Notamacropus eugenii: one gene and its partners. The protein of the gene in region 2 interacts with the protein of the main gene of each other region in a pairwise test. Links are inferred from orthologs where the notes say so. Each region holds a gene or a part of one and is shown on either strand. Other genes may lie near its edges. The genes, in order: EXOC7, kxDL motif-containing protein 1-like, IFT20 and MOB1A.

Region 1 (7,952 bases), on a different chromosome or scaffold from region 2:
AGCAAAAAATATATCACAAATCAACAGACAGGTTTAACTGTCTGACCATAGTTGCCAGAGAGGGAAGCACCAACATCTGGGTTTTCAAAGCTGGAGGGTTCCTTAGTGGCTTCCCAGAGTCTCGTCTGGCACACAAAGCTTCTTCCAAACACTAAGTCCAAAAATAAAACCTCAACTCAGAGTATTTATACCTTTTTTAGAGCCAGAGGACCTTCCTACAAATCTCCCCCAATCAAATTCCCATTAATGGGCAGGCCCATTAATGGATGGGGAAGATCTTTAATCACATATACATATACATATACATATACACATATACAAATACATACTATTTCTAGTTAAAGAAACTCTTGTTTCTGTACTTTATTACTCGTGAAGATTCTTGGTTGATAAAGGCAAGATTCAATCAGAGGCACTTGATTATACTAAAACAAAAACAGCAAAAAATCCTATTTTGCTTGCCTTTACACTGAGAGAGGGAATGATTTTGCCTAAGGGAGTTTGTTTGTGGGGAGGTTTGATGGAGGGAAACTCAGAGATGGTCATGCTCCCTGCATTGATAATGTATATAGATTTCTTTGTTACTATGATGGATTTGGCTTTCTGATATTTGAATAAATGTCTTGGTTTCATCTTTGAGGAAGAGAGTTTATATTTTGCAAATTTACCCTGGAAATACAGATGCATATCCATAATGGCTGCTATGGGTGTTGCATTGGTGTTACACAGGTCTTCTTCATGGCCTTCATTCTCTTGGTCCTTTATCTTTCTAAGGAAGAATGTCCACTATTCCATATCTTGTGAGATCTTCTGTGGTCTTTTGGCTTTGGTTTTGCGTTTTCAGAGTAGCTTTCTCAATTTGCTTCCATTGACATTCAAGAAGATATTCCTACCTCAATGAAAGTTGAGCTCTTCTTAGCATAGATACCACAGTCCTCCATGTCTATTAGCATTTGCCTCACCTCAACTCACTATGGTGACACCAGCCAAGATTCAATACCAGTCATGAGTGGATAAAGCTCAGAGCTATGTATTACCTTTTTCTGGTTACTGCAGACTAATCTTATCCTCTTTCTTAGATACTACCATACTTCTCTGAATTATTCTCTGTAATTGAGAATGTACTTTGACTCTAAAGTCAGGAGGTTTATTTTCTTTATGCTGATCAATAGAACATGTAAATGTAGCATATGCTTCCTGAAGAGTTTCACCACCGCCATATTGCATCTCTAGGTTTTGGATACATATTAGTCATGTGATTTTAAGCAATCTAGTCTTTAGGACCTGTACAGAGCAAAGAACTATTACAGGAAGGAGCTTGTAGTCCCCTGGACCTCAGTGGCCTTTTCAGTAGCAGGGGCTACCTTTATTAGATCTATGGGCATATATTACTCTCTCTCTGCTTAAAAGTTCTCTTATTTGTGGAAACTTGCACTTGACTAAAATGAAGTCAACGTCTCTTCCTCCTTTCACACCTCCACTGAAGTGAATATGGAATGTATCTCCTGCCCTTTAAAGACATCTAAATCTCTTGCCTAATCTGATGTGCACCTGCATTAATTTTATTAGGATTTAGTAGCCATTGTCTTTTCTTTAATGTGAAAGAGAAATTGATAGGTAGGTACATAGATAGAGATAGCACATTTATAAGGGGCTGACCATGTGCCCACTGTGCTAAAACCATTGGAGATACAGAAACAAGCAAGCAAAATAATCGCTGCCTTCCTTACATTCCAATTGAGGAAGATACTAATGAGGGCTGGAGAGATAGAGATATAGGAATTCCAAAACTGTAGTTGCCTGTGTGGGCCATTTGGAAAAAAATTCCCAAACTCAAGCATTATTAAGGTCAAGGTGGTAAAGATTTATTACACTTTTCAGCGGGCAAGAGTTCTTAGGGAACCTGCAACCTTGGAGGGGTATAGGTAAAGTTTATATAGGATATTCTATAGTAAAACATGTGCCAAATATGCTAACTAGGTGATTCAGGGCAGAATTAAGGAGTGATTAAGGAGTGGTTAGTTCTTAAAAGGAACATGCACTTTTGGTATCTACTGCACAGGTATTTTACCCAGAGTTCTTTGGGAACTAGCCCAAGGAGGGAGTTTTAGGCCTGAAATGCCACTAAGTCAACTAACAGACAGGACTGACTAAGTAATAAAAGGCTGCTCTCATCAATGTCTTGTTAGACAAGATAAATGTGAAGGAGTATACGTATGTCTAAATCTAGGATAATGGTGAGTAGTAAATGTCATTATGACCCAGTACACAGCCGATTCAAACTAATAAATTCTACAGCTGGCTACTGCAGCAGGAAGGGAGACAGCCATTTTTGCTGGAGCAGGCTGTTGTTGGGCTGGGAGGCTAAGGAGAAATTTGATTTTTAAAGAGAAATGTGATTTTAGAATTGGGGTCCAAGCACATGTACCCAAGCACCCCATCAATACCTTAAAGGGGAGCTGTAAAGCATGAAGAGGTGGGGTAAAGAAACATAGTGAGGCATGTGAATGTTCAGAAGTAGAGATGAAACCTAGCTCCAGGAAATATAAGGTGAAAGGTCATCAATTAGAAGCCAGGGTGATTCCAGGGAGGAAGTGAGGTTGATGAAAGGAGTAATGAAGGGGGTAGGGGGAGAGAGAAGAGAGGGAATGATGCATTGACTTGGGTTGTTAGCTACAGAGGCAGAATCAGCTTTTCCTCACAGGAAGGGAAAAGATAAACTTAGATGAATTTGGCAATTAATGGGAAACTGATCTCTCACCTGGAAAAAGAAAGAATAGGGAGCTATCCCTTGTGATGCTTGGCATCACCAACTGTTAACTCTCAGCTCTTGGGAATTTATAATTGCAATCACGTTATATAGCAATATCCACCCATCAAAGTGTCAAAAGATGGGAGTGGAGGGGTAGGAAAGGGAGGAAGACAGCAGGCAACAGGACATTAGCCACTTTGCTCAATTCTGCCCACCCACATCATAGAAGATAAAAAACAAACTCTTCTTCCAGCTTTTTTTCCCCAAAATTCTATAACATATAAAGTCCTATAAAGCCAAGTTCAAAAAACCTCAGCAGTTGGTGAACTCTTGGGGAACATCTGCTTGAGTCTCTTGTCTCTGTAGCAGGGATAACTGGGCTAGGTGTCCATGACCCCAGGGCTACGTTCAATACTACAAAAAGTGCTGCTATGAATATTTTGGCATCTATGGGATCCCTCTTTCTGTCATTGACTTCCCTGAGCTATACACCTAACAAAGAGATCTCTAGGTTAAGGGGCATGCTGATTTTCATCACTTTTTTAAAAGCATAATCAATAAATCAAATATTCATTAAGTGGTTACTAAGTACCAGATGCAGTGCTAAGGGCTAAGGTTAAAAAAGACAAAAGTGAAACAGTTCCTGTTCTCAAAAAGTTTGCATTCTAAACACTGTATTCTATACCAACAGAAAGGTTGGACCAATTCAAGGCTCTGTATGTATTAGAACACCTCTCTTTCCACAGTCCCTCAGTTTCAGTGTTTCATAGAGACAGTTTCCTTCCCAACTTGTGAAGAGTTTGGGGAGGTCTTCCATATGTTTGAATTGGACAGGGTTATGCTGACCTGAAAACTACCAAATAACAATTTTGAGTACCTAGTTGGTAAAGTGGATAAAATGTTGGCCCTGGAGTCAGGAGGACCTGAGTTCAAATCCTGCCTTAGACACTAGCTGTTTGCCCCGGGGCAAGTCACTTAACCCTGTTTGCCTCAGTTTCCTCCTCTGTAAAATGAGCTGGAAAAGGAAATGGCAAATCACTGTCATTGCCAAGAAAACCCCAAATGGAGTCATAAAGAGCAAACAAACAAAAACCAACAACACAAAAACCAAAAAACCATGATTGAACAAAAACAAAATGCTGAACAGGGATGCTGAAACTGGTCTCCAAAGGGGACTTTAAAGATCTGAGCAGGACCATTAGTGGAGATGTTGACATTCTCCCTCCACTCCCCAGATCAAGAGGACTCTTAGGATGGGTGCTAAAAGGCTAGAGGAGGGAGGCACCCAGACAGCTAAAAAGTCCTGTGTAAAATTGCCAAAAGGTTTAAATTTCCTCTCCTCAACTCTGTCTCCTTGTGCTAGCTATGCTAAGAGGCACTGTAAAAAATAGAGATACGTAATAAATACTGCCATTCTTTTAAAATTTCTTCCTTATTCTGATTTCCTTTCTCTTTACTTAAGGCCTGTGCTCCATCATTAAAGCTCTGTATTGCACTGTCTGTATATTGGTGTATAAAGGAGTATAAAGGAGAGGACTAGCAGCCACCTGAATACATTTTTTAAATAAATCAAAGATTCTTTGATGACACATAGATTTTTATAAACGGAACTTCTTTGGTCTGGTGACCAGAGCCGCCTCTCTTGGTGAACTTCAGGCTTTTTATTAACAATCTGTATTTTAAAAGCGAACTTCCCAAAGACGAGTGTAAACTGGATCAAGACTGGTTTTGCTTCTGCTAGTCAGCGCCTGCAGCAGACGGGTTCACTAATAACTCAAGCGGCCCACCTTCAGAAGCACCTGGACCCACACCTGGGGAAAGGGGAAGGCTCCGCCCCCCAGCCGAGCCCCCAGGGCGGAGGCGGAGACAAAAGCGGAGATTGCCCCGCCCCTTTCTGTTGGGAGGAGGCAAGTCCTCCTCTGCCAAACTCTGGCTGCCCCCGTGACCCCCGCTGTCTACACTGATTTGTGTTAGTTCCCAAGAGATCTTGGACATAAAAACTTTATTTTACGCAATGATGTTTTTCCCTTCGAAAGAAGGCTTCCCTGCTAGAGGAAACCACTTCCTAGGAGATACACTTGTCACGCCCAGCAGTGATTTGCCCAGGAGCGAGAATTTTGTGCGCATGCTCCATCTCAGCGAGGCGGGGGTGGGGGGGTTGGGGGAGAAAGAGAGGAGGAGTGTGCGCATGCGCCGTCCTAGCTCCATCTCCGAGAGTGGGTAGGCCCGCAGCAGACGGAAGTGGGTGTGCCGGAGACGGTGGCCGAAGAGGGCCGCTCCGGAAAGGGCCGATGGAGTGAGGGCCGCAGGCCGGAGGGGGTCGCGGGTTCCCTAGGCCGGTCCCGCTCGGAGCGGCTATGATTCCTCCACAGGAGGCGTCCGTGCGGCGGCGGGAGATAGAGGACAAATTGAAGCAGGTGAGGCCGAGGCGACGGGAAGGGGAAGGACTGCTTGGGAGATGGAGGAGGGCTTGGGGGGCGCGGAGGTGGGGAGAAGGAAGGGGATGGGACCCGCGGCCGGCGGGGCGGCGGAATCGCCCCCTCTCCGGCCCACCCCACGGGGTGACTAACGCCGCCCTCCTCTATCATCCATCCGTCCATCCCCCAGGAGGAGGAGACGCTCTCCTTCATCCGAGACAGCCTGGAGAAGAGCGACCAGCTCACCAAGAACATGGTGAGTGTGGGGCACGGCCCCCGACCCTGCCCTGTCACCCGGCAGGCCTTTATGGAGCGCCTCCTCGGTGCTCGGCGCGTCGCTAACCGCGGGGGACGCAGACAGGCCGGAGGCAGTGCCTGCCCTTCTACGACCCAACGGGAGACCCGTCGTGCAGACAAACACAGATAGGAGAAAGTAGAGTGTGCGTGATTGCAGAGAACCTGGTGGGTGTTGTGTGGCCGCAGTTTCCCCGTCGGTAACCCGAGGGGGTCGGACTCATTGATCCCTAAGGCCCTTGTCGGTTTTGGCTCTCTGTGCTCCGGATGATTGTATCCTTCTCCGATTCTGTGATGTTCCCCTCATGTTCGGTTCTGTGGGCCACGGGCTGATTGCAGGGTTTTCGGTCTACCCAGCTCTGCCCCCGCTGCCTCTCTTGAGTTAGGACCCAGAAGCTGGTTACTCTTCTTATGTCATGTTTGCCTTACTAGTTCCTTGTCAGGTACCCCAAATAAATACTGATTGGGCATCCACCTGCATGTTACACTGTGTACAGGCTCTGTGGAATATAGAAGAGGTGGTTTCTAAGCTTATTTTCTGAAAAGGAGATTAGATGAGCACAAAGGAGTAGATTTAACTGTGATCGTGTACAGGTACATTAAGCACCAGGATGGTAATAAAGGTACAATATGTATGGAAAGCAATAACTATGTGCCTTTATACTTCCAAATTTCAGTTTAGACATTTATTAAGCACTCATTGTGTACAAGGCACTCTGTTAGGTAGTGGAGATACAAAAACAAAGAGAAACTGCCTTCCTTCAAGAAGCCACCAAGTGGCTGTAAGAAATGAGCCACATGTATAACCTTAAAAAAAAATGATAGAAATGATAAATATGTGTAGATAAGATAATTTGAAGAGACTATGTGCTAACAATTGGGGAAGTGAAAAGAAGCTTCATAGAGGGAAAAGGCACTGAGTGGATCCTTGAGGGAAGATAAGAATTTTGAAAGGCAGAATTGAATAGGAAGTATATACTAGATATGGAGTATAGTTTGTGCAAATGCATGGAGACAAAATATGGAATACCTAATTAAGATAGGTAATGCACTTAGTAAGCACTTGCTGTGTACAGAAACAGTGTAGCATGCTAAGAATGCAAATGTGTGAAGGGGAATAATATGAATTGAAGTTACAAAGTTAGGTAAGAGATAGACTATGGAAAATTTTAAATTTTAGAAAATTGTACTTTATTTTAGAGACAGTAGGGAGCCACTGAAGATATTTGAGCTGGGGAAGGACATAGATGTACCTGTTCTTTAGAAGGATTATTTTGGCAACTCTGTTGAAGGATTGGAGATGAGAGACTAGAAGTTAGGAAACCGGTTAGGAAGTTATTACAATAATAGTTCTAGCAAATGATGAGAGCCTGAACTGGGGTGAAAGTGTGAATGGAAAGAAGATTCCACATTTTGAAGGTGGAATCAACAGGACTAGGCAACTGATTGAAGTTTGTGGGGAAGAGAGAGAGGGAAAAGTTTAGGATAACTCCAAAGGTCCATACTTGGGTGACTAGGATGAGGGCAGAGAAACCAAAATAGAGACATTACTTTCATCAGTGTGAGTAATCTCTCCACCTGTGCACATCAAAACTTCTACATCCCCTCGTGCGGTTTCGTGAGTTGCTGGGGCCAAAAAACTTCATCTTCTAATAACCAAACATTTGGTGGTGAGTTTCTTTGAACTTAACTAGACTGGTTCTCAGATGACATTTTGTCACCGATTCAGTGTCTCAGTGTGGAACCTACCAGAGTTTGCTTTTCTTTCTAACAGACTTCACGATTCCCACTACAACATGATGAGGCACTGAAGCAGAGCTTTTGTGAAGGAATATCTGTGTGCATGTAGTTATTTATAATAGCCATACACATATATAACAAGAGGCAGTGGAATTTGATGGATAGAAAACTGGTCTTGAAACTGAGAAGACCTGTCATACATTGCAAGTCACTCAACCTGTCAGTGTTCTAGACCATCACTTCTTAAATTGTGGGTCACAACAGTGGGGCTTTGAAAATGTTGGCAACAGTAAACAGCGAAACAATCAAAAACTAATTAAAAATCAACCAAGTAATGAATGCCAGGTGTTTTCTGGCAGTACTTGCCCATGTTGCTTCTTGCAGCTTCACTTCAGCCTTGGTTCTGAACACAAAGCATGCACAGGTTACACTGTACATGCTCTCAGGCCATACACCAAGGAACACTGCCAAAACATGAAAAGGGGTCCCAAGTGGAAAAAGTTTGAGAAGCCCTATTCTAAATAACTCTCTATGAAGCCCTATTCTAGACAACTCTCTAAGTTGCAGAAAAGATGCTGATCTGTATTGGTAGAGGGAGTTCCCACACCTTGATCTTCCCCTTGCCTGCCACTTATAGTATAAATGTTTATTGACTGACTGACTTGACTTATTCTTGTGTACATACAGACAGACATATATATTTCATGTAGATAGAAGCAAAGAGTAGGTTTTGAAAGATTGTCAGGACA
Region 2 (7,553 bases):
ACATGTCTGAGGCAAGATTCATGCTCAGGTCTGTTTGACTCCACGACCAGCTGTCTTTACAATGAACTATGCCTTGAGTGTTTTAGATCGAGAGGAGAGCCTCATCAGTGGTTTGGCACCCCCTCTGCCCCCACCAAAAACAGTTCTACTTGGCATTATGAGAGCTTTTCATACTTATTTTTTAGAAGTCAATGATTCTTTTTCTCATGATCACCCTAATATTAATCTCATGATCACCCTAATGTTAATTAGGGTGAATGACACAAGTGATTTGTCTCATCTAAGACAGAAATAAATAGCTTGCATCCTCCAGTTCAGTGACATTCTCTTAGCTGACATAATTTTTGACCACAGAGGGGCAAAGTGATGAGTGGTCTATCTGTGGTTTCATATAAGAAGGAGGGAAATTTTGAGATGGCTTCTGTGTCCCAAGAGTCACAGGTTCATCATGCCATGTGTATTGAATGAATTAATGAATGAATCCATCTTATCAGAAGAGTCACCTAGTCCTTTAATTCTTTAAAGGACTTTAATTCTAAGATCAAAGAACTAGTTTAATTTTTTCAAGTAAGTTAATAATAAAATCCATCGCTCATTTTTTAAAGATCTACCATGTGCCAGATACTGTATGAGGCTCTAGAGAACCATTTCCTGTCCTCAAGGAGCTTCTATTCTGTCAGATGAGACAATATGTGCACATATACTCACATAAGTATGCCCAATACTTGTACCTTAGAAATGGAAGGTAATGGAAGGGTGAGGACATACTTGCTTCTGTTGAGGATTAAGGCAAGTGTCTAGAAATTTTTAAAAACAACATTCCAGAAAAGATTTGGTATTCAGTAACTGGATGGATGGCTTGTCATGGATTAAATTTCATCATTTTACTTCCTGGTCAGTTCTGATGTTTCCTCCATGGTCTAAATAAAGGCAAGATATGACCAAGGGGGAAGACAATGACCTTCCTTGCCCCTCATCTTAAGTTGGCTACAGAGGGAAAGAGTAAGACTTGGTCTCCATCCACCAATCTGTGTGGGAGAGCTCAAAAACCGGGAGACCCAACAGCCCCAGGGCTGTCATGAGACTCAAGTGAGATGATGGATGGAAAGATCTTTTCAAACCTTAAAATTCTACATAATGCCAGCCATGATTATTGTTATTAGCCTCCAATCACCTGGTCTCCAGTCTTGTGATGTGTATTTCCTAAGCCTTCCACTGTCCTACTCAATTTAAGCAATGTTTATGGAGTAGTAAAGGGGTGTGCTGGTAAATGTTTAACTACTGGATAAGGACACGTATGCACATATGCTTATACGTTTAATTTGTATTATTAACATTTTCTTAAGTCTATAAATCTACAAAACCATGAAGTTGGCTCTGATTTGTGGCAATTGCTGATTTTTTTCTTTCTCCCTAGGCAATGGGGTTAAATGACTTGCCCAAGGTCACGCAGCTAGTAAGTCAAATTTGAACTCAGGTCCTCTTGACTCCAGGGATGGTACTCTATTCATTATGCCATGTGGCTGCCCCTAATTGCTCCTTTCTAAGGTATAAATGCTCAAGATGATCATTTAACAATGGACGCTCACAAGCCAGTTACAGCTGCCTCCAACAAACCCCTGGAAAGTTCTGACAATTTTGTTGGGTGGGTAGCTGTAAAAACAGAAGCTAATTATGTATAAGCTCTATCATCTCACTGTGGGAGACAAATAGAGAGGCAAAGAGAACAGGAACATTAACTTAGTGTGAGGTCCCTCTCAAAGGGACAGAGAGACCCAGGTCCTAGACCCAAAGGCATAGTTTCAAGATAGAAACTAAAAGCTAAATCCTGGGAATGTCATGGAGTTGGTTCCAAAGGTCTCTGATGTCCTTTTTAACGCCATTATTGCATGATTCTAAAGAAACTTTTGATTAAGAACCTGGTATTGATTCCAGCAGTTATCCAACAAGGAAAATCTCACAAATGCAATAAACCTGTGCTCTGGGGTGTGCTAAAGTGAGCTCTGTATGATCATCTGCAACCACCACAAATCTAGGTTTGCTTTACTGTTTCGTGGATTGTTCAGACTTAAGAAAGGGTTAATAACACAGATCAGACTTAAATGTGTATGCATACATTTCCCCCTAGAGAGTCTGGTTGTTAAACATTTGCTGTCACTCCCTTATATTGCTCTATAAACATTATTTGCACTTAACTAGAGTGGAGTAGAAGGCCCAGGGCATGAAGTCATCACCAGGTAGCAGACCTGGCAACTAGAAGCTAATAGTAATAACGACCATTGAGGATGTTCTTTATTGGTGTATATAAGACTCTCATAATGGGAGAATAGGAATTAAAGCTGGTAGTTACTGATGTTCTCTCAGTTGCATTTTTTATATTAATAAGGTCCAAGATTTTTTCCATCACTGGCATTTTTCCCTTCTTCCGATGCCTAGTACATCAATCCTTCAGTGCATTTACCACGGTGGAGATTACAAAACAGATCTCTTTCATGTATAAATAGTATCTAATCTAGACGCTTTCCTTGTATTTTTGCTCTTTAGTGCCATTTCCACCTTTTCTGTAAGCACACTGTGGTGCTAGGGTCCAAATATGGTTGTTTCACTGTCCTTAATGAAGAAATCATTAGTTATAAGGATTTTTACAAAGCTTTCCCATTTTCTTCTTGCAATCCTTCTTCCCTTTTGGAATGTCCTTGGGATGAGTTTCTTTAGTTGAATGTTTTCCCAAGCTTCCTTTAAACTGATTTTTGCCTTACTGCTTGCTTCCTTAATTTATGAGACAATACTGCTCATAATCATCCATCATCCTTATCCACAAGATTTTATAAATGGGTTTATATTGTAATCTAACATTGCCTTTGGCAGCCATCTCTCACTATTTAGCAAATAAGTCAGATATCTGCTGATTTAGGCACTTTCTGAACTCTCTTCATGCCCTTGGTGTACACTGGTTACCCTTCAGAATAACATCATCATAGTCAAAGTCGTTGTCTTTTCTGTTGTCCATTTCCTATTTCTGATCATTGGTTACTTGTTTGAACAGTTCAGGATTAAGTTATTTCAGATGTATGCCATATATTTTTCTCATTCTTTTAAAAAAACTAGTTCAGATATAACTCTGGTCTAACTGTATGAAGATAGCTATCATAGCAACAATATGTTGGAAAAATTCTTTCTGTTTGAAAAACTCATACTATTTCATTTTATGGTGTTATTTGATGTTCACCAATGGTCACTGATTCTTTCCTCAAGGAAAATGTATTTAAAAAATAGCACATTTCTAAAAACAAAATCAATAAAACCAAATCAGTAGAGGAGGAAAAGTTAAAGATTAATCATCCCTTAAGCCTGGTTGGATTCCTGACTTCTTTTAGTAGACATTAAGCTCCTTGGGGGCAGGGCTCACTTTATTCTTATCTTTGTATCTCCCAAATTAGTCATAGTGTCTTAATGCATCAGTTAGTGAATAGACATTTTTTAAGCACCTACCATCTGTGAGGCATTGTGCTAAATGCTGGGGATGCAAAAAGAGACAAAAAAAAAAAATACTTCCTGCTCTAAAGGAGCTCACAATTTAATGGTAAGTGCAATGAAAAAACATTTGTTGGACTGAATTAATCACTCTTATGAGTGAACTTCTTTGAGTGGCAAATGTCTCTAAAAGTAGCTTGATATCTTGCTTTTGTTTTAAAAATTCTCTTTTGTTTCTAGTCACAAAAGGCAGGCAGCAATGTCATTTTAAGTCTTTTTTTAATACTCTTTTCCTTCAGTGTTCCCTGAACTACAGCCAAATCACTCTCTTTACTATTCAAAATATTCTGCACATTCCTGCCTCCATGCCTTTGCCCATGATGTACCCCCCACCAGAAACACTGTTATTGTCTACAAGGTCTAATTTTTCTACAAAGTCAGCTCAAATGTTTCAAGTTTCACTAAACCCTCCATGATCTCCACCCAGCTTTTTCTCATACCCAAGCCAGAAATGAAAATGGATACACTTTTCTGTCTCTCACATTCTTTCATATTTTACCTTCTCCTATGCTGATATTTATTTGTTGTTTAAAAGCCCTTACTACTTGGGTCAGTTTGGTTTTCTGGCTTCGTTAGGTATCATCTTCCTTTCACATTTTTTTCCAGCCAAACTGAATTTGCTTTTTCTCCCGAATGGGGTTTATCTCCCCTCTCTTTGCCTTTGTCCCCACCTAGAACTCCCCGCCTGCTCATACCTGCCTCTTAGCATCTCCTCGTTCCTATGACCTCAAGCGCTGCTTTGTCCAGGAGACCTTTGTTGATTCTCCCCCACAAAATTACTTTGTTCTTGTTCAGTCCTGTCCGACTCTCCGTGACCCCATCTGGGATTTTCTTGGCAAAGATCCTGGAGTGGTTTGCCATGTCCTTCTCCTGATCATTTGACAGATGAGGAAACTGAGGCAGAATGAAGTGACTTGTCCAAGGTCACACAGCTAGTAAGTGTCTGAGGCTGGATTTGAACTCAGGAAGTTGAGTCTTCCCTACTCCAGCCCTGGTGCTCTGTGCACTATGGTGCCCTCTACCTGCCCTTTCACAAAATTACCTAGATTTATTTTGCAGATATTTGCTTTAAGATTTTCAAAGAGTTTTATGAATTTATTTAAATTAGCCTTCACAACAACCTGGGAGGTAGAGGTTATTGTCCCCATTTTACAGGTGAGGAAACTGAGACAAACAGAGGTGAAGTGACTTGCACAGGGTCATACAACTAGTAAATATTTGAGATCAAATTTGCACTGAGGTCTTCCTGACCAGTACTCTGTTCACTCTACCATCTCATTTCTAAATTCTACAGATTGTTTCATGCAGCTCTGCTGTAATCTCCTCACTTTGTATCTTTCGCATCTAACCAGGTCCCGGCAGGGCCTGCTAACTGGGAAGGTGATGGTGGAGATTACTTATGTATATGGATTGAACTAGATGATCATCAACACCCTTTCTAATCCTCACACTATGATTCTGTATGCAAAATAAAGAAAAAAGAAAAAACAAATACTGGTTGCTTGACTTTTGTACAGATCCCTACTGGATTATAAACCTGCTGAGGGGAGGGCACAAGTCTTACTTGTCATTGTGCCGCTCCTCACATCTAGTGTAGAGCTTATTTAGTTACTTAGTGTAGTAGCTAGAGATAAGAGTCCTGGGCAGGGTATGGAGTCTGCAAGACCTGAGTTCAAATGTGACCTCAGATACTTACTAGCTCTATAACCCTGGGGATGTCACTTAATCCTTTTTGCCTCAGTTCCTCTTCTATGAAATGAGCTGGAGAAGGAAATGGCAAATCACTCTAGTGTCTTTGCCAAGAAAATTCAAAATGGGGTCACAAAGAAATGGACACAATTGAATACACACAGGAAATGTTTGTTTTGTTGAACTGAATGGGATCTGGGTGCATAGCAACCAAAAAGTTCCCATCCGCTTTCAGGGTTCTAAGTTAGCAATTCTCAAAGTGTGGTCAGGGGACTCCTGGGGGTCTCTGAGACCCTTTCTTGGAGTCAAGGGGGCCAAAATTATTTTCGTAATAATGCCCAGGCATATTAATTTCTAATACGGTAAATATTTAACGTACATAAACAAAAGATTTTAAGGGAGGGGGAGTTCTTGATTTAACAGTATAAAGGAGCTGTGAGACAAAAAGTTTGCAGACTGCTCTATCAAGCCCAGAAATGCAGCATCTAATATTAGCAGTCACTTGGCAAAGGCAAAACTGAGTTATATAATCCCTGCTCTTTGAGAAGTAAGGGCCACCGGGAGCTAATTAACTTCCGTGTATTCTGAATAGATTCAGGGAAAGCCACATTGTTCTGAAACAGAATGGCTCCTATTTACATTATAATCATCCTCATCACTCTCATTCATATAATAACTCACAGTTACATAGCATTCTAAGTTCCTTCTTCACAACCTTTTTACAAGTAAGGTATGACTGGTATGAGAATCATTTTCCCAGTTTCACATGCAAGGAAACTGAGGCTTTTCCTGGTGAAGGAGCCTTTCACAGAAGCTTATGGCTAGTACACAATCCTAACTTGATCTTCTGACCAATACTGTTTTATATCATATGCTCCCCAACCAGCTTCTACTTCCTCCATCAACGTTTCATTGTATATGTGTGTGTGTGTGTGTGTGTGTGTGTGTGTGTGTATAAAGAATTATTTAAGCATTTGTTGTGCCCCCATGCCATAGAACTGAACTCTCTGAGGACAGGGACTATACCCCCAGTATCTTGCACATTATAGTACTAAAATAAGTGCTTCTTCACTGATTCATCATTCTGCACCAAAGATTCTCTAACTTCATGTTGCTAGCTGCATCAGGTACCAAGAAGACTTAATGATACTGAGGAAAAGAAACAAAATATCATGGGGATATTAAGGAGAGTGTTGAGACAGTGAGCTAGAATCAGAAAAGCCATGGGTTCAAATTTGACCTCTGGCAGTTGTGTGACCCTGAGCAAGTCATGTAAAAGTCTGAGCTTTGGACAATTTCCTAGGATCTTGCTACTGAGAGACAGAGTAGTTGTGATGTTGGTAGAAGAAATTTCCAGCCCTGTGCTGATGAAAGCACTAATATTTTTTGGATTCAAATACCATTAGGTTTGCACATCAGTGAAACTGCTTATGCTGGAAGACATATTAACTTCGCTTGTGTTTATATGTGTGCATCATGGCAAGCAGTGCAGATGAGTTGAGTGTGGTGGCACACCTGTGCACTGAGGAGCTAAATTCAGATCTTGCTTGTGACACTGTCTTGTGACCTTGGGATAATCACTTCCTAGTTCTGGGCCTCAGTTTACCCATCTGTAAAATGAGGAGATTTAAGGCCCCTTTCACTATGGTTCTGTGGGGCACCTATTCTCTCACTTGAAAGAATGTTAGCTCCATGAACTGTTTTCTCATTTTGTGTTTGTATTACAGTGCTGTGGGGAGAGGGGACCTTAATAAATGCTTATAAATTGGTTGTTATATAATGAATATATTCAGGGTATGCCCCAAATCACAGAGCAGTTTGAAGCTAGTACTTCTTGGGATACCTGGTAAAATTCAAATGAATTCAATAAGTATTTACTAAACGTGGTCATATGTGTAAGGTACAACGAGGCTACAACAGGAAAAATAGAAACCATTCCCAGCCCGCAAGGAGCTTACTCCTCCGAAGGAGACTGGAGGTGATGATGATGACCAGAACACCTCTTTTCTCACACACAGGTAAGTACGAACAAGGCAATTTGAGGAGGGAGATGGCAGTATATAATCCAAACAATGACAGTAGGAGGACATGTCTTTACCCAAGGATGCAAAATTAACTTCAATCAATGCTCTGTTTTTCTCCATTCCCTTCACAGAGTGCTACCTACCTGTAATAAATGCTTTGATTTTTCCCCCCCAAGGTAAAATGCATTATTTATTCTTCACTTCAGCAAAATAAGCAAGAAAATTGGACCTCTTAAAATCCAAATAATGGCACCAGCAGTTTTTCACCTTTATTTCCAGACCCTGGATTCTGTTCAAATGCATGAC
Region 3 (7,527 bases), on a different chromosome or scaffold from region 2:
AATTGAGGAGGCACCTCTCAGTTGGGGAATGCCTAAACAAATAATAAATGAATTTTATTATGCTGCAAGAAATTAGGAAAATGTTAGTTTTGGGAAAGAATTTATGAACTGATGCAGAGTAAAGTGAGACGAACCTAGAGAACTGATAGTATAACAATATTGTAAAGATAACTTTGAAAAACCTAACTCTGATCAATACTATGACCAACAATAATTTTAAAAGGTTGATGATTAGGTATGTATGATACCCACTTTTTGATAAAGAGATTTATTCAAGAAGCTGAATAATGCTCAGTGGACGACTGGTGAACTTGGGTTCAGTAAGACCTGGGGCCTCAGCATCCCTAAAGAGAATCATGGCTAGAATGCAGATCATGGCAAGTTGTAACTAGCTGCACTGCAACATCATAAGGTGTTGCTGGCCTTAGAGCAGGTGCGAGCCAAAGGGGAAGGACTTGTTGATGTATTTCCCCGACCATCCAGAAGTGTGAGTGTTCTGATGCCAGATGACTGCTACCAGACACTCCATCAAATTATCCTAGCTTGAGGTGAGTATCCCCTAAAAAAGATACAGCCCCCTTTGCTCTTCAGCTGGGCTCACCAAGTCACCTTCAGATTTGGGTATCTGGTCTACACCCAAGAAACAGTGCCCTATGCAGACAAGCAGCACAGATTCTCCCATTACAAATTAATAAGTTTGCATTAGCTGGGTTGCTGCAAGCGAAGCTTCCCTAGGACTCGGTCATTGGGGAACAGCTAACTTTTCCAGCTGCCTTCTCTTGACATGGGCTCAGCTCTAGGAACATCTTGCCTCCCCCAGGAAAGCTCCTCCCCTGAAATCTTATCATCTTGCTCACACCTCCTCAGCACTCTCAGGTGCCTCTCTCCTCAGACTGGAGGGAGGGCTGGAGGACAGAGCAATGAACTCCTCCCCAAGGCCTCCCTTCTTTTGGTTAACTTCCTCAGCTACTTTGTTGGTTTCAACTCCTCAAGCATTGTGCCCCCAGGCCAGGTCACCTGGAGGGGGCTCCCCCCATCAGACTACAAGCTCCTTGAGGGCAGGAATTTCTTTGGATCCCCAGCACTTGGCACAGCGCCAAGCACATAGTGTTGATTTTTTTCATTCTTCATTTTCAAAGACCAAGAACAACTCAGGTGATGTCTTGACTTGCCTGTGAATTGGATTTAAATGAAACAGTCCTGCAAGGTTGCCAGCCTCACTCTTCCAAAGTCATCCAATTGAGGACAACTGGCAATGGCCAGGCTGCAATACATGACCGAGCCCTCCACGGCACCTACTTCGGTCACTGTTGTGGCTGTTGGAACAAACTGTTCTCATCCCCCCGTTCTGCTGGGGAAATCTTCACACACCTGGGGTAGACAGCCCCCTAACTCAGCCAAGGGTTCGAGGCCTGTGGGTCACATCGGCCAAAATGGTTCCTGAGGTACGCCGTGGGGCGTGATAGTTTCTTGGAGCCACAGGTGATAGGTAAACAACAAAGGTGAATGAGCAGCCCTGAAAAGGGCTCAGCAAGGCCTCACACCAGAGGAGCTGGTCCTCCCTGAACATCCCATACAGCCCCAGGCACACAGTTGTGGTTAAATGGTTCTTCACTGTGCTCCACTCTTCGCGGCTCCATCTGGGGTTTTCTTGGTGTATCATTTCCTTCTCCAGCTCATTTTACAGATGAGGAAACTGAGGCAAACAGGGTGAAGTGACTTACCCTGGGTCACACAGCTAGTAAGTGACTGGGGCTGGATTTGAATTCAGGGAGATGAGTCTTCCTGACTTCAGACTTAGAGCTCCACCCCCTGCACCTCTTGGCTGCCCTGAGGCAGGTACACAGTGTTGACTATTAATTGGCTAAAATGAAATTTCTGAAACCGAAAAGGTGAAGACCAGATTCCGGCCAGGCTGTCTCACCTTAAGTGGCCCCAGGTCACGCGTGCCGGGTCCCTAACAACTTTTTTACCATCGACACAAGACACAAAAATGGAAGAGAAAAGAATGGCCAGGCCCCTCCAGCACCCTTTTATGGGGTGCAGGTGCCACTTGCTTTTCTGGAGGGGGGCAATGGGCTAGTTAGTGTCTGGGCCGGATTTGAACCTAAGTCTTCCGGCCTCCATCCTCTGCACCACCAGCTGCCCCCAGAACAAGGGACTGGGAAGTTCGAAGCCCCGAAGGCCAGGGCAGCCCCACCCCAACAGCCACAAAGGGACCCCAGCCCCGAAGCCACCTCCTCCGCCCTCGGACTTGGCGGGTGGGCCCCCGCCGGGCCAAATCCCGTCCCACGTGGGGTCCCGGGCGCGGTGCCGAGCGCCACACTCAGTGATGACGGGCGTGGGCCACAGGGCAGGCAGCCCCCTGGAAACATTCGTGGAACCGGGGCGACCGACTTCTTCCAGGCCCTCTACCGGGGGTTCCCCGAGAGCCTCCCGGGGAAACTGAGGCACCCGCCCGCGCCTCCGAGGCGAGGCCAATAGTCGCGCGAGCCGTGCCGCCACCCACCTGAAGCCGGGGCCCGCCGCGATGCGGGGCGGGCGCGGGAGACGGCGGCCCCGCACTCCGGTTAGCAGCTAAATCCGCCGCCCGGAGCCGCCCGCCCCGGCGCTGCCACGGCTACAGCTCCTGTTTACCGTACACGTCACTTCCCGCGCCGCGAACTCGCCGCCGGAAATGGTTCCACCTCCCTCTTCGAAATGCCTGCTGGGAAGCTGAGTCTGAGGAGCGAAGGTTAGACTGCAAGGAAAGCCCACACCTCCCCTACTCCTTTGCGCCGAGGGAGGAGCCGGAAGTCGCTTTCCCTCTTTCCCGGGGATAAGACGGCTGCCAGGAGGCGTGGGCAGGAGAAAAACATCCCCCCGAGACACGTGCCTTCCCTCGCTTTGCATTCTGGGAGTTGTAGTCGTGGGCCCTCCCCGGCAGGCGTGGGAGCCGGGCTCGGGGTGGAGCCTGAGGAGGATATGAGCTCACTACCAGAGCCTGGGGCGGGGGTCGGGGTCAGGGTCGGGGCGTTTTTCTTTGGGGCTGCGGGAGCCGGAGCTGGGGTCCAGGCCGGACAGAGCCCTAGGAAGACGCTCCGGGGACGAAGGTAAGAGAAGGGCCGCGTCCGCCCCAGGAGGGCGGGGAGGTGGGGAGGCGCGTCCCGTGCCCCGCGCCCCGGACCAGAGGCCGTGAGTGTGCCCCCTCGCCGTCCTCTGAGACCCGGCCCGAAGGAGGAGGGGAGATGGGAGGAGGAGGAGGAGGAAGGGTAGGTGGGAGGAGAAGGGCGAGAGGAGGGAGGGGGAGAAAACAGGGGAAGAAGGCAGAGCGGGTAGCAGAGGAAGAGCCGGAAAGGGAGCGCAATAGACATTCTTGGGGGGCAGGGTGACCCCGGGGTGAGCCTCGCTTTGCCTCCCTTCCCGGGCCACGTCTTCCGCCCCGTCGGTTCCCTAGTCCGCGGGGCTTCGTTGGCCGAGGCCCGGACCCACCCCCAAGCCTCTAGACCTCCCCCCAGTCCGGAAGGAAGAGCGCTCAGGGGCTCGATGGAAACTTCTTTTTCCCCCGAGTCAGTTTCAGGGCGTTCCCTGTGGGCGGAGCCCGGGAGCCCATTGGTTCAGAGGGAAATGTAATCTGACCTCGCTTGGTCCAGGGCGGCCCGGCTCCTGGCCCCGAAGCCATCCCTGCGGCAGGGGGCCACGGCCTCAGGGCTGGGAGAAGCCCTTCGCGTTGTTGTTCTTGGCTTGCTCCGGAAGGCTTAGCAGCTTAGAAAAGCTGAAAGGAAAATACCCTTTAGGTTAGGAGACAGAGCCTGTGTTTCCTTCCTCCGCTTGCTTCTCTAGCCAGAATGGCCGAGTGAGCAGGGGCCACTTCTAGTCCGACGTGTACTTCAGTAATGCCCACTGAGTGGTCCTCCTTCCCTTTTTGCACAGAGCTCCTTAAGGCTTCCTGGGGCAGCCCACTCCACTTCGGCCCCATCTCGTTAAGAACCTTCTCCTCCTGTGTTTCTCTACAATCTCCACCCATTGTCCCAGCCTCCGCCCTCTGGGGTCCCCTATCAGATACTTGTAGATAGTTCTCATTCTCTCCCTCCACCTGGCTAAGTTTTATCCAGGCTCATTATCCCTGGTTCCTTAATCCTGGGTCTCCACCAGTTTATCCAAGGTCTTTTTTCTTAAATCGTAGCACCCCAAATTGAACACAGCATTCCAGAAGTGGTCTGCCTGGAGCAGAATCCATCAGGAGTCTCACCTCACCTCATGCAGCCCAAGACCCTATTCATTTCTTCCCAAATATCTGCCAGTGTTACATGTAGCACACTGTTAATGGCAAAGCATTAAACCTTAGAGATCTTTACCCACCACACTACTCTCCAGTCTGTTTAGCTGCTGCTGTGCGACCTTGAGCCTAAGTCACTCCTTTCCTGGTTTTGTCCTCTGCACAGTGAGGAGCTGGCCTGGGTGAATGGTCTCTTTTAGCTCCATCCCTCAGAAACCATAATGGGCTTCCTTATCCTTAGCTTATGGACTTGTTTTGGGTCCAGATGTAAGACTATCTTTATCACGGTTAAATTCCTTCTTATTGGGTATGGCCCAACATTCTACGCTGCACAGATCTTTCTAGACTCTGTCACTATCCAGAAATGTGGTCAGTACCTTTCAGTCACCCCTAAAAATGGTAAACAGCATAGGGCCAGATACAGGTCCCTGGGGTACTTGATTAAACCAAGGCCACCTTCCTTTAGTGCCTCTTCTTTAGATGGAGTCATTCAGCATCTTCCCTCTATCTGGTCCATAAGAGCAGCAGGAGACCTTGTCAGATCTTTGCTAAAATCTCCGTTCTCCTAGAGTGCTATCTATGGCAGCCCTCACTTGTCTACTAATACATTTTCCCATTTTCCTTTGCCATTCAGTCAGATCCTTTTAGCTGTAGTTTCTCCTCCAAAGTCATTATCTAATGAATACCTACAATGTGCAGACACTGTGAGGGATCCAGAATTAGGGTGTAATTCTTGCCCTAAGGGATCTTACAGCCTGGTTGGGGAGACAAGCCTGGTATGTCTGTTCTGTTCCAAGGGTAGAACACCTTAGGGTGCACCTTGCTAATTGTTTTTTGAACCAAACTTGTGATTTCATAATTGTAGGAAAATTCCTTTATAAAAGCACATCGGTGAAATTTATTGTTTTAAAGAGTTGCATAAGATCCTTGAGAAGTTAAGCGACTGGCTCAGAGTTATTCAGGACTCAAACCCCAGCCTTCCTAACTTTCAGGACAGCCCGCCCTATAACTCTAGCCTGCTACCTTGAAAAGTAGGTGGAAGGAAAATCAGTCTCTAATGCATGAGGTGCAGTCTGTCTCCCTTTCTACTTCCCCAGGCCCACTAGCATCTAGAATTCCGTGTTACAATGAATCCCCAGTGTTTGGGGTTCATCTTGTGGTTTTCCTGGATCATGAAGTATTTCTGGGATCTTCTTCCACCCCTTAGAAAATAGGAAAGGACTGGGAACCCCTGCCCTTGTGCTCAGGAAGACAAGCCAGCAGGTGGCCTTCTGGTCATTTCTCTAGACATAGAAAAACTGCAAGGATTGGCATGAATTCTGTGCCAAGCAGAGAGAATCAAGAACCCAGCAGCCTGAGGCCAGGGGTAGCAGTTCACTAGAATGCTCTAGGTTTTTGTGACACTCTTCTCTCTTCTGGTTTTCCCCCCCACTTCTCTGACCGCACCTTCTCAGGCTCCTTTTTACTGGATCCTCTTCCAGATCACTCCTGAACATTCCCTGGGGTTCCTCCTGGGCCCTCTTCTTCCTTCAGACTATATTGCATTTGATCTTACCAGCTTTCACGAATTTAATTATTTCTGTGTTGATGATTCTCACATCAGCTTATCCAGCCTGGCAGTTGAAGATGCTCCAGCCTTGGCTTCCTTGTAGCTTGTTCCAGTCTTTTCTCTCAAGTCATGTGTTTTTCATCCCTTCCTGAAACCCCAAGTGGTATCTCTCAGTTCCTTCCCACATGGTTGTAACAAGGGATTGGTTTTCTTGCTTTCTTGATGTTGGGAGGGAAGGAAGAGAGAGAATACAGACCAGAATTGACTTTTAAAAGTTACTTCATAAAAAAAGAAGGAAGGAAGGAAATATGAGAAGGGAAGGGAAACCAACTTCCTCCCTTTCTATTTAAATGGACAGTTTAAGTGCCTTTCATCTGAATCCTGGAGAAGTCTTGTATTGCGTAAATTCCCAGTTAACTTGGCTGCAGTGTTGGGACCTTGTTGAACCTTTGGGAATAGTATACACCTAGGTGGGACGGGCATCCCGTTTGTTATTTATAATACACCTTACATGTTATTATAGTAATGCCATTTTTGTGATCCCTGCGAACCTCTCTGTCTGGTCTTCAGGGGTCCTCAGCTTACTCCTCTCTCTTGTTTGGGCCCTGGCCTGTATCTCTGAGGGCTGCCAAGCCATTTGCATGGGGACCTGGAGGGAGAAGAGGAACAGGGTGTGGCCAGACTGTGGCGGTCCTTTTAACTCTAAGTTCACAGTCCTCCTGACTTCTGTTGTTCTCTCTTCCCTTCTGCCTTCAGTCCTGAGATTATGAGGCTCTGGCCTCCACCAACTGCTTGCCTGTGACTTCCTCCACCACAGTGGAACGCCCTAGGCCCACCTCCTGCCGTGTGGTCATCTACCTGCAGCGGGAGATGTCCGGAGATACCTGCCTGGCTGGCCTGTGCCCAGCCTCAGGATCTAAGCCCAAGCCAGGGGGCTTTAAGGGTGGTGGGATGGGCAACAAATACATCCAGCTCAATGTTGGAGGCTCCCTGTACTACACCACGGTGCGGGTGCTCACCCGGCATGACACCATGCTCAAGGCCATGTTCAGCGGGCGCATGGAGGTGCTGACTGACAAGGAGGGTAAGGACCCAAGGCCAGAAAAATAAGAGTGGTAACGGCAGGAAGCACTTGGACTGGTGGGTCCCAGGGCAGACCTTGCATGAGAGATGTGGGGCTTTTCCCTTTCATAGACTAGTGGAGCTGAGTGGGACGTCAGTGGTAGTTTGGGCTATCCCTTCTGTTACAGGTAAGTGAGGGCCCAGAAATGAGTGACTTCCCACACCCATTCCTACAGCCCTTTGTAGAGATCATCCCTCCATTCTCCTTGCTCAGGAGCAGTGGAAATAAAGTCCTCTGGGGCCAGCAGTAATGGCCCTGGATTCTGGTCTGAATTCCCAGGCTGGATCCTCATAGACCGATGCGGCAAACACTTTGGCACCATTTTGAATTACCTCCGAGATGACACCATCAACCTTCCCCAGAACCGCCAGGAGATCAAGGAGCTGATGGCAGAAGCCAAATATTACCTCATCCAGGGCCTGGTGGACATGTGTCAGATGGCACTGCAGGTAGGCAGAGGGGCAGGAACCAGGGCCTTGCAGGGTCCTTCCCCCCTCTCCTCTACAGACTTGTTCTTGAAGAATTAGCAGAGATATAATTTGGAGTAAATCCAGTCCTTGTCAGCCTGCTAGGAGAGTCTCTGCCAGCAAACCGTTT
Region 4 (7,443 bases), on a different chromosome or scaffold from region 2:
ATCATCCCAGGATCCCGGAGTGTTAATGTTGGAGGGAACTGGAGGCTCATCTCCCAGAGGAGATAGTTGAGGCCCAAGAAGAGACTTGCCCAAGGTCATGCAGTGAGAGAAGGTCTTCTGTCTCTCAAGGCCTCCTTCTGTGACTTGGCTCCCTTCTCTGGATTCCTGCAATACTTCTTATCAGTGCGATAACTAAATAACAAACAGTAAATTAATGGAGTCCTGCGCAGTGACCAGCCTCCCACTAATGCCCAGAACTGTTGTTTAAACCTGTTCTGGCTACTGGACTCTCATGTGACCATCTACAGCTGCGTACTACTTTTCTTCCTACCTAGATCGATCATTCAACCACCAAACGTTGATTAAGTAACTACGGTGTATAAGATACCATAGAATCGTCAGTTCGGGGACAATGAGAAAGTCAGAGCACCCAGTGCACCCAGTGCACATACTCCTGGCGCAGGCTAAACTCCTTTCATGGCCCCAGGCCTCAGTTTCTCCCTTCTTCCCTGTAAAATATTGGCCCTGACCTGGGAGGTCCCTTCTGGCTCTCATTGGGAGGTTGGGAGGCTGCCCCTTTTCTTAAACTTCCTTTCTTCTTCTATAAAAATGAAGGAGCGGCTGGAGGGACTTTGGGGTCCCTTCTATCTCCACATCCAGTTCCTTTTAGTATTATAAAAATTGAGGGAGCAAGGAAAAATGGCCTGTGACACATTCTGGCAAGTCACCTCTTCAGCTCTTGGTGCCTCAGGCAACTTTCTGAGACTGGAAGTTGTAGAGAAGGTGCCTATCTGTGTTGGTAGAAGGAGTTCCCTCACCTGGGAGTCCCTTCTATCAATAAAAGCCTGAGTCTAGTTTCCATCCCTGCCATAGAATTCAGGGTCCTGGTTGAATTTTAAGAAATTTTTTAAAAATGTAATGTAACTTTTTGGTAATGGGAATGCAATAAAGATTTGTTGATTTGAATTTGACCAAATGAGCTGTTAAGGCACTGTACATACAAAGAATTTTTATGATGAGAAAAATGGTTTTGCTACAGCCTTGAAGGTTTATGAGATCCCTCACAGTACTCAGGGACATGACATGAAGGAGATTCAGATGGTTAGTTGGTAAACATCTATTAAGCACCTACTATGCACCAGATTCAGAGTCCAGCTGGAGAGAAAACCTTCTTTCAAAGTTCCTGGAGTCTAGCTAGCATTGTCCCCCCATTGGATGGACAGGGACCATCAGACCCATGGCTGACCCAAGCAGCACTTTTCCTGAAGTCACCTGCCTAAGGAAGAGGCAGCCCTTCTATCAATGGACAAGATTGATAGAGCCTAGGGACCAGGGGCTGTGCTGGGTGCTGGGGCTACACAGACCTCCAAAGTAGGGGCAGGGAAGGTACCCGATAGGTTATGCACAAAATTAATACAAAATGGGGGTACTAACAGCTGGGTTAAGGAGGAAAGGCCTTTGAGGTGATCCCTGAAGGGAGCCATTGTTCTAAAAGATGGTGGGTAGTAGGGATAACACACCAGGTTTGGGTAATAGTCTGGGCAGAGAGGTGGAAGTAGGAAGTAGGATGCCCTAGGATGGCAAAAAGAAAGCAGGCAGTCTGACTGGAGGATTGAGGGCATCTGGGAGAATGAAGAGTTATTATTCCAGAAAGATGGTCTGGAGCAGACAATGAAAGGATTCAAATGTCCAAAAAAGACAGCTATGTATTTGATTGTAGAAGCAATCTTCCCTGGGCCCCAGTTTTCCCATCTGTGAAATGAAGATAACCCTTGGACAACCTACCCATCAGGGCTTTTGTGAGGAACCAAACCAGGATAAAGTACTTTGTCATTGTGGGAGATCAGCAATTTATGGGTAACTTTGACTTTTGGTGAATTGTGTAGGCGCTGAGAGGTTAAGGAACTCCCTGAGGGTCACACAGCCAGTTCAGAAGGAAGCCTGGAATCTGTTACACCCCCTGACTCTCCTTTCAAAAAGAGAGAAAGCCCTGGCTCCTACTGGAAGGGACCTTTGAAGGCATCTGGTCCAACCACCTCCTTTTAGTGGTGAAGTGACTTGCTCAAGGTCCATGAAAATGGTAGACCTGGGACTGAACCCCACACTTCAGCTCCAAATTCCATGCTCTCTTCACTGCACCACCCTGCCTCTATAGATTTCTAACCACTATCAAATAAATGTCACCTGCTACTAACATTTGGTTCTGTCTTCCTCTCCAAACTCGGGCTTCTCCATCCCATTAAACCCAGTCCCATCTCTTTCTCTGTGTCTGTCTCTCTGTCTCTGTCTCTCTCCTGGCCCTCTTACCTGGGTACCCCCTCCTTCTGTACTATTATTTGAATGGGCCATCCATTCTGTCCTGAAGATGCCAAGAGCTAAGGCCAGCTCTTGCTTACTCATTACCAATTAATGCTCCCGCATTTGCTTTCCAGAGGTCTCTTAACATAGACAAAAGTCTATGCTAACAAGTCATGTGGCTGAGCTAAGCAGAAGGCCACTCTGGGCCTCAGGAGAGACAGCTCCCACACACAGATGGCAAGAGAGGTTTCATCAGCCCAATTAATTCATGAGTCATTTCTTTTTTCAGGGCAGGAAACACAAAACTGTATCAAGCTGTGGGCAGACTAAGAAAAGTTACTCGTTATAAAAATACTCAGTCATTCTTTAGTTTTTGGATGATTAAGAAACATTTAGACTTTCCCTGGGCCCCTTTCAGACACAACAGCTCTCAAAACCATTAGTTAAATCTTAGAGGGATTTGTTTCCCTCTGCGTTGACAGGGGAGTGTCCATGCCCACCAACAGACTCAGAGTTCTGGTAGTTTTTGTTATCTTTTATGTCACTACGAGGAGGCCTCCTCGTAGTGACTGGAGCTACGGCAAGCCAACCTTACTTAGCCCACCTTCTGCAAGGACCCTCCAACTCCCACCCATCCACCCCAAGCATCCCCACCTGTACATATTAAATGCTCATGTCAAGGGCCAGGAGCCAACTTCAAGTGGGTGGGTGGGTCACAATTCAATGCCATCTCAAAGCATTTATTAATTCCTACTATGTGCAAGGAAGGCCCAGTTGTTGCTGATAGGCAGGAGATAAAGGAGTGAATAAGATTCGAGGAGCTGTGCTTCCTCTGGGACCTTAGGTCTTTAGACACAGCTTGGGAGAGGTAACGCAATTTCATTGGTCAGAGGGAGCTCTCAGGCGAGACAGCTCCACCTATCAATGCAGATCATAGGCTTTTCTGCAGTGTAGAATCTGAGCAAGTTTCCTAGTTAACTGAAGGTTCAATGACTTGCCTGGGGTCACACAGGGTTGGAAGGGGTCTTGGAACTGTGGTGGGTGACAGATGGAATGACTGAAGAAACAGAAGTTCGATCCCACAGCTAATCGATTCATTAAAGCGATTCATGCCTATGGGGACCGGATCTCCTGAATTTAGGGCAGACAGACTTATACACATTAAAACCAATTCATCAATAAGGCCAGTTAGGTAAAAGGAAACAATACAACGTTGGGTCATCTGATTTCTAGGAAAGACCGGGAAGGAGGGGGAGAATGAACAGGTACAATTCCCCGAATTCAGAGAAAGAGGGGTCCCACCTCCGAAGTGTCCATAGACAAAGGAATATGAAAACAGGAACTGATTGATCAGTATGGGACCAGTTTTCAGCTAATACTCATCGGTTTCTTGAGATGTACAAGCGTGAGAAAACTCCTTGCATCGATCTTTGGATCTAATGGAGTTTCTGGTCAGCACAACCGAGGTCCTTGGCTTGGGCCATGGGATAAGGAGCAAAGAATGTGGGGTGTCAGGGCCAGAGATGCCCCTGGAACATGGGACATCAGGGCCGGCAGGGACCGGAGGGCGCTGGACATCAGGGCCGGGAGGGACCGGAGGGCGCTGGACGTCGGAGGACACTGGACATCAGGGCCGGGAGGGACCGGAGGGCGCTGGACATCAGGGCCGGGAGGGACCGGAGGGCGCTGGACATCAGGGCCGGGAGGGACAGGAGGGCGCTGGACATCAGGGCCGGCAGGGACCGGAGGGCGCTGGACATCAGGGCCGGGAGGGACAGGAGGGCGCTGGACATCAGGGCCGGCAGGGACCGGAGGGCGCTGGACATCAGGGCCGGGAGGGACCGGAGGGCGCTGGACATCAGAGGACACTGGACATCAGGGCTGGGAGGACCGCTGGACACTGGACGTCAGAGGCGCACTCGGAGCGCGGCTCGGGAGGGTCCCGGGTCCCAGGCCAGGGCAGGACACTTGGCACGTGGATGCCTGACCACAAGTGACCCCTCCCTCCCCGGGACGTCCCCTCCCCCCCGCGACCTTGACCTTGCCCCCCCCCCCCGGGCCTGCAGCACCTGCGGGGGGCGGGGCACCGGGCCTCGGGCGCTGATTGGCCGCGGGCTCTCGGGGGGCGGGGCTCCCCGTCCCTTCCTCGTTCCTGCCCCGGACGCGGGAGGGGGGGGCGCTTCCTCTCGCGAGAGCTGCGCGAGTTCCGCATTTCGGAGCGGGGGGCTCGGGTGGGCGGCTCCGGGCGCGCGCTGGCCGGGGATCGTCCGTCTGTCCGTGCGTGCGTGCAGATCCGGGGCGCCGCCGCCCCTGTCCCTCGCTGGCCGTCCGGCCTCCGCTCCTTTGCCTCCTCCGGGCCCCCCGCGCCCCGCCCCGCTGAGACGAGACGAGATGAGCTTCCTCTTGTGAGTGCGGGAGGGGGGGCAGGAGGAGACACCCCCCCAGGGCTGAGGGGAGGGTCTTGGGGGGCCCGGGGGCCCCGGCGCGCGGGGATGGAGACCCCAGGACCTGGGCCCAGGGTGGGGCGCGGCGGGGGGTCCGAGGGCAGCCAGGGAATGTGGGGGCGGCCCGGACTGAGGAAAGGGGGGTGACGGGCCGAGGCCCACTGTCTCCCCCGGCCTCCTGGGGGGCCCCCAAGGGCCCGGCCCGGGGGAGGAGCCCCCGGAACCCAAACTTATCCTCATCACCCCCCCGTGAAGCCCCCCCAGCAGGGGGTAGTGCCCCCCCAACCCGGCTGCACCCCCCCAGCAGGAGGCAGTGCCCCCCCACCCCTGGCTGCGCCCCCCCAGCAGGAGGCAGTGCCCCCCCACCCCTGGCTGCGCTCCCCCAGCAGGAGGCAGTGCCCCCCCACCCCTGGCTGCGCTCCCCCAGCAGGAGGCAGTGCCCCCCCACCCCTGGCTGCGCTCCCCCAGCAGGGGGCAGTGCCCCCCCACCCCTGGCTGTGCTCCCCCAGCAGGGGGCAGTGCCCCCCCACCCCTGGCTGTGCTCCCCCCAGCAGGAGGCAGTACTCCCCCACCCCTGGCTGCGCTCCCCCAGCAGGGGGCAGTGCCCCCCCACCCCTGGCTGTGCTCCCCCAGCAGGGGGCAGTGCCCCCCCACCCCTGGCTGTGCTCCCCCCAGCAGGAGGCAGTACTCCCCCACCCCTGGCTGTGCTCCCCCCAGCAGGGGGCAGTGCGCCCCCCCACCCCTGGCTGCACCCCCCCCAGCAGGAGGCAGTGCCCCCCCACCCCTGGCCGTGCTCCCCCAGCTTCACGATGTGCAGGCCCCCCTGAGGGTCTGTGATCCCCGACCCTGGGACCCGTGACCCCCGGCCAGGTCCCCACTGCAGGGCCAGGGCCTGGTACTCAGGAGGTGCTTAATCAATGCTTGTTCCCTCCATCGTGTCACCCTGGGGCAGTCTAATCAGTGAGGGGAGCTAGGATAAGGAAACTGAGGCCTGCAGAGCCAGGTGACCGGCCAGGGCCACGCAGGCCTGCCCCAGACCTGACAGCCCCAGACCTGGCAGGGGACCCAGCCTCGGTTTCCCTGTCTGTAACCCATCTCACAGGCGGTGTGGAGGCCCCTGAAGTGACACACATCAAACACTGTGCACCAACCCTCCTGCGTGCTTCTGCCTCCATCCTCCTCCTCCTCACCCCTCTGCCCTGACCGCCTCAGCCCACCCGGCCCCTTCCCTGGCAGCCTCACCCTGGTCTGAGGTTCTCTGGCCTGGGATCCCCACCTTGTCTTTGTCCCTGCTTAGAGAAGAGGGCCAGGCCCGCCAGGCCAGCATCTGTCTTCCTGACCTCTGGCCGGTGGCATCGGTGGTGCCAGGGCAGTGATGGCGGGGGAGGGGACAGCACAGGCTCTAGAAGGAAGGCAGTCCTGGTGGGAGACTGGCTTTGGGTTATACAGGTTCGGTTCTGTCTGGTCCTGATGATGGTTCATGGGCATTTAGAGAGCGCCTCGCCTCCTTTCTCCAACAACCCTGGAAAGGAGGTGCTAGGATGGTCCCCACTTTGCAGCGGAGGAAACTGAGAAACACCTTAAGTGTTTTGAGCAGGACCCCCGAGGCAGGATTGGAACTCAGGTCCAGCACTAGCTGCCAGTGGAGTTGGAGAATACTGCATTTGGATTTAACAAGCATTTATTAAGCTTCCGTTCATTGGGGGTGGGGGTGGAGAGACAGCATTTACCCATCCAGGTGGCTCCCCAGACAGCTTGTGGTTGGCTCCTTTCACCTCCTGGGGAGCACTCCCAGGTGGTACCCTGGTCTGCTTCTCTGCCAGTCCCTGGGGGAAGCGGCCAAATGGAAGCCTGTTGAGGACAGGGGCAGATTTCATCTTTGTCTCTGCATCCTGTAGGGTCTGGCACACGCTGTCCAACGCTGCGTGTTTGTGGATCGAATCCGGGCAGCCGTGCAGGAGCAGAGCAGGCCCCCAGTGCAGAGCCTTCCCTCCCCCTCCAGGAGTGCCCGCTGCCTTCCATGCCCGGGGGCATCCATCAGTCAGCAAGCATTCATTGCTTCATTTCTAATTGATTTACTTTTTAAATTGTGGACTAGAAACCACCAACAAATAAATCATCCCAAAAGATGAGAAGGTGGAGGGGGGTCAGGATGCTGCCTGTGCCTTTTAATAGCCATCACTTCTAAAGTGGCGGTAACAGCATTGCCCTCGCCTCGGGCTGAGCCCAACCCTGGGACCTTCTCCGCAGTTTTTAAATGTTTCACTTCCTCTTGCTTTTCTTTATAACGTCTGTCACTGCTCTCCCCTTCTCCTCCTCATAGAAGCCTCTCCCTTTTACCAAAACCTAGTCAGGCCAAGCCCAAGGGAGAACAGAGATGCCTTATCTCCATGTGAAAAGGTCATGTGGCAGCATCTAGGGGCCTGGGTTCAAGTTCTGCCTCCAGGCTTCCCAGCTCTGTGTCCTTGGACCAGAAGCTCTGCGTCCCTTTGAGCTCCACATCTGCGGCCCCGGGGTCCTTTCTCATCATCGTCAGAGCAAAAGCAATAATAGTTACACACTTATTTAGCAGTTTAAGATTGACTGAGCTCTTTACAAATTCGATCTCCTTTGATCTGCAGCGCCGCTCTGAGCCATAGGAAGGAAAGAGGGAAGGAGACAAGTGTTTTGTTTTTGGAGACAGTTGAGGGGGGCATCCCAT

What was found.
Region 1: the proteins of kxDL motif-containing protein 1-like (region 2) and EXOC7 interact in binary tests that used the Homo sapiens proteins (3 or more experiments, as listed by UniProt). The two-hybrid records come from large-scale screens. The link is inferred for Notamacropus eugenii from reciprocal best matches to the Homo sapiens genes KXD1 and EXOC7.
Region 3: the proteins of kxDL motif-containing protein 1-like (region 2) and IFT20 interact in binary tests that used the Homo sapiens proteins (3 or more experiments, as listed by UniProt). The two-hybrid records come from large-scale screens. The link is inferred for Notamacropus eugenii from reciprocal best matches to the Homo sapiens genes KXD1 and IFT20.
Region 4: the proteins of kxDL motif-containing protein 1-like (region 2) and MOB1A interact in binary tests that used the Homo sapiens proteins (3 or more experiments, as listed by UniProt). The two-hybrid records come from large-scale screens. The link is inferred for Notamacropus eugenii from reciprocal best matches to the Homo sapiens genes KXD1 and MOB1A.

What each region holds. Positions count from the first base shown.
Region 1 is NC_092873.1:342,425,742-342,433,693, reverse strand, and holds the start of EXOC7 (exocyst complex component 7), read left to right. Parts: upstream 1-4,949; 5' UTR 4,950-5,109; coding exon 5,110-5,169; intron 5,170-5,359; coding exon 5,360-5,425; intron 5,426-7,952. UniProt on the Homo sapiens protein: Component of the exocyst complex involved in the docking of exocytic vesicles with fusion sites on the plasma membrane.
Region 2 is NC_092874.1:283,502,196-283,509,748, forward strand, and holds the start of kxDL motif-containing protein 1-like, read right to left. Parts: upstream 3,011-7,553; coding exon 2,959-3,010; intron 1-2,958.
Region 3 is NC_092873.1:35,659,466-35,666,992, forward strand, and holds the start of IFT20 (intraflagellar transport protein 20 homolog), read right to left. Parts: upstream 3,001-7,527; 5' UTR 2,510-3,000; intron 1-2,509. Other genes in the region: TNFAIP1 (BTB/POZ domain-containing adapter for CUL3-mediated RhoA degradation protein 2), read left to right, coding at 6,678-6,891, 7,210-7,379. UniProt on the Homo sapiens protein: Part of intraflagellar transport (IFT) particles involved in ciliary process assembly. May play a role in the trafficking of ciliary membrane proteins from the Golgi complex to the cilium.
Region 4 is NC_092872.1:750,729,222-750,736,664, reverse strand, and holds the start of MOB1A (MOB kinase activator 1A), read left to right. Parts: upstream 1-4,441; 5' UTR 4,442-4,689; coding exon 4,690-4,703; intron 4,704-7,443. UniProt on the Homo sapiens protein: Activator of LATS1/2 in the Hippo signaling pathway which plays a pivotal role in organ size control and tumor suppression by restricting proliferation and promoting apoptosis.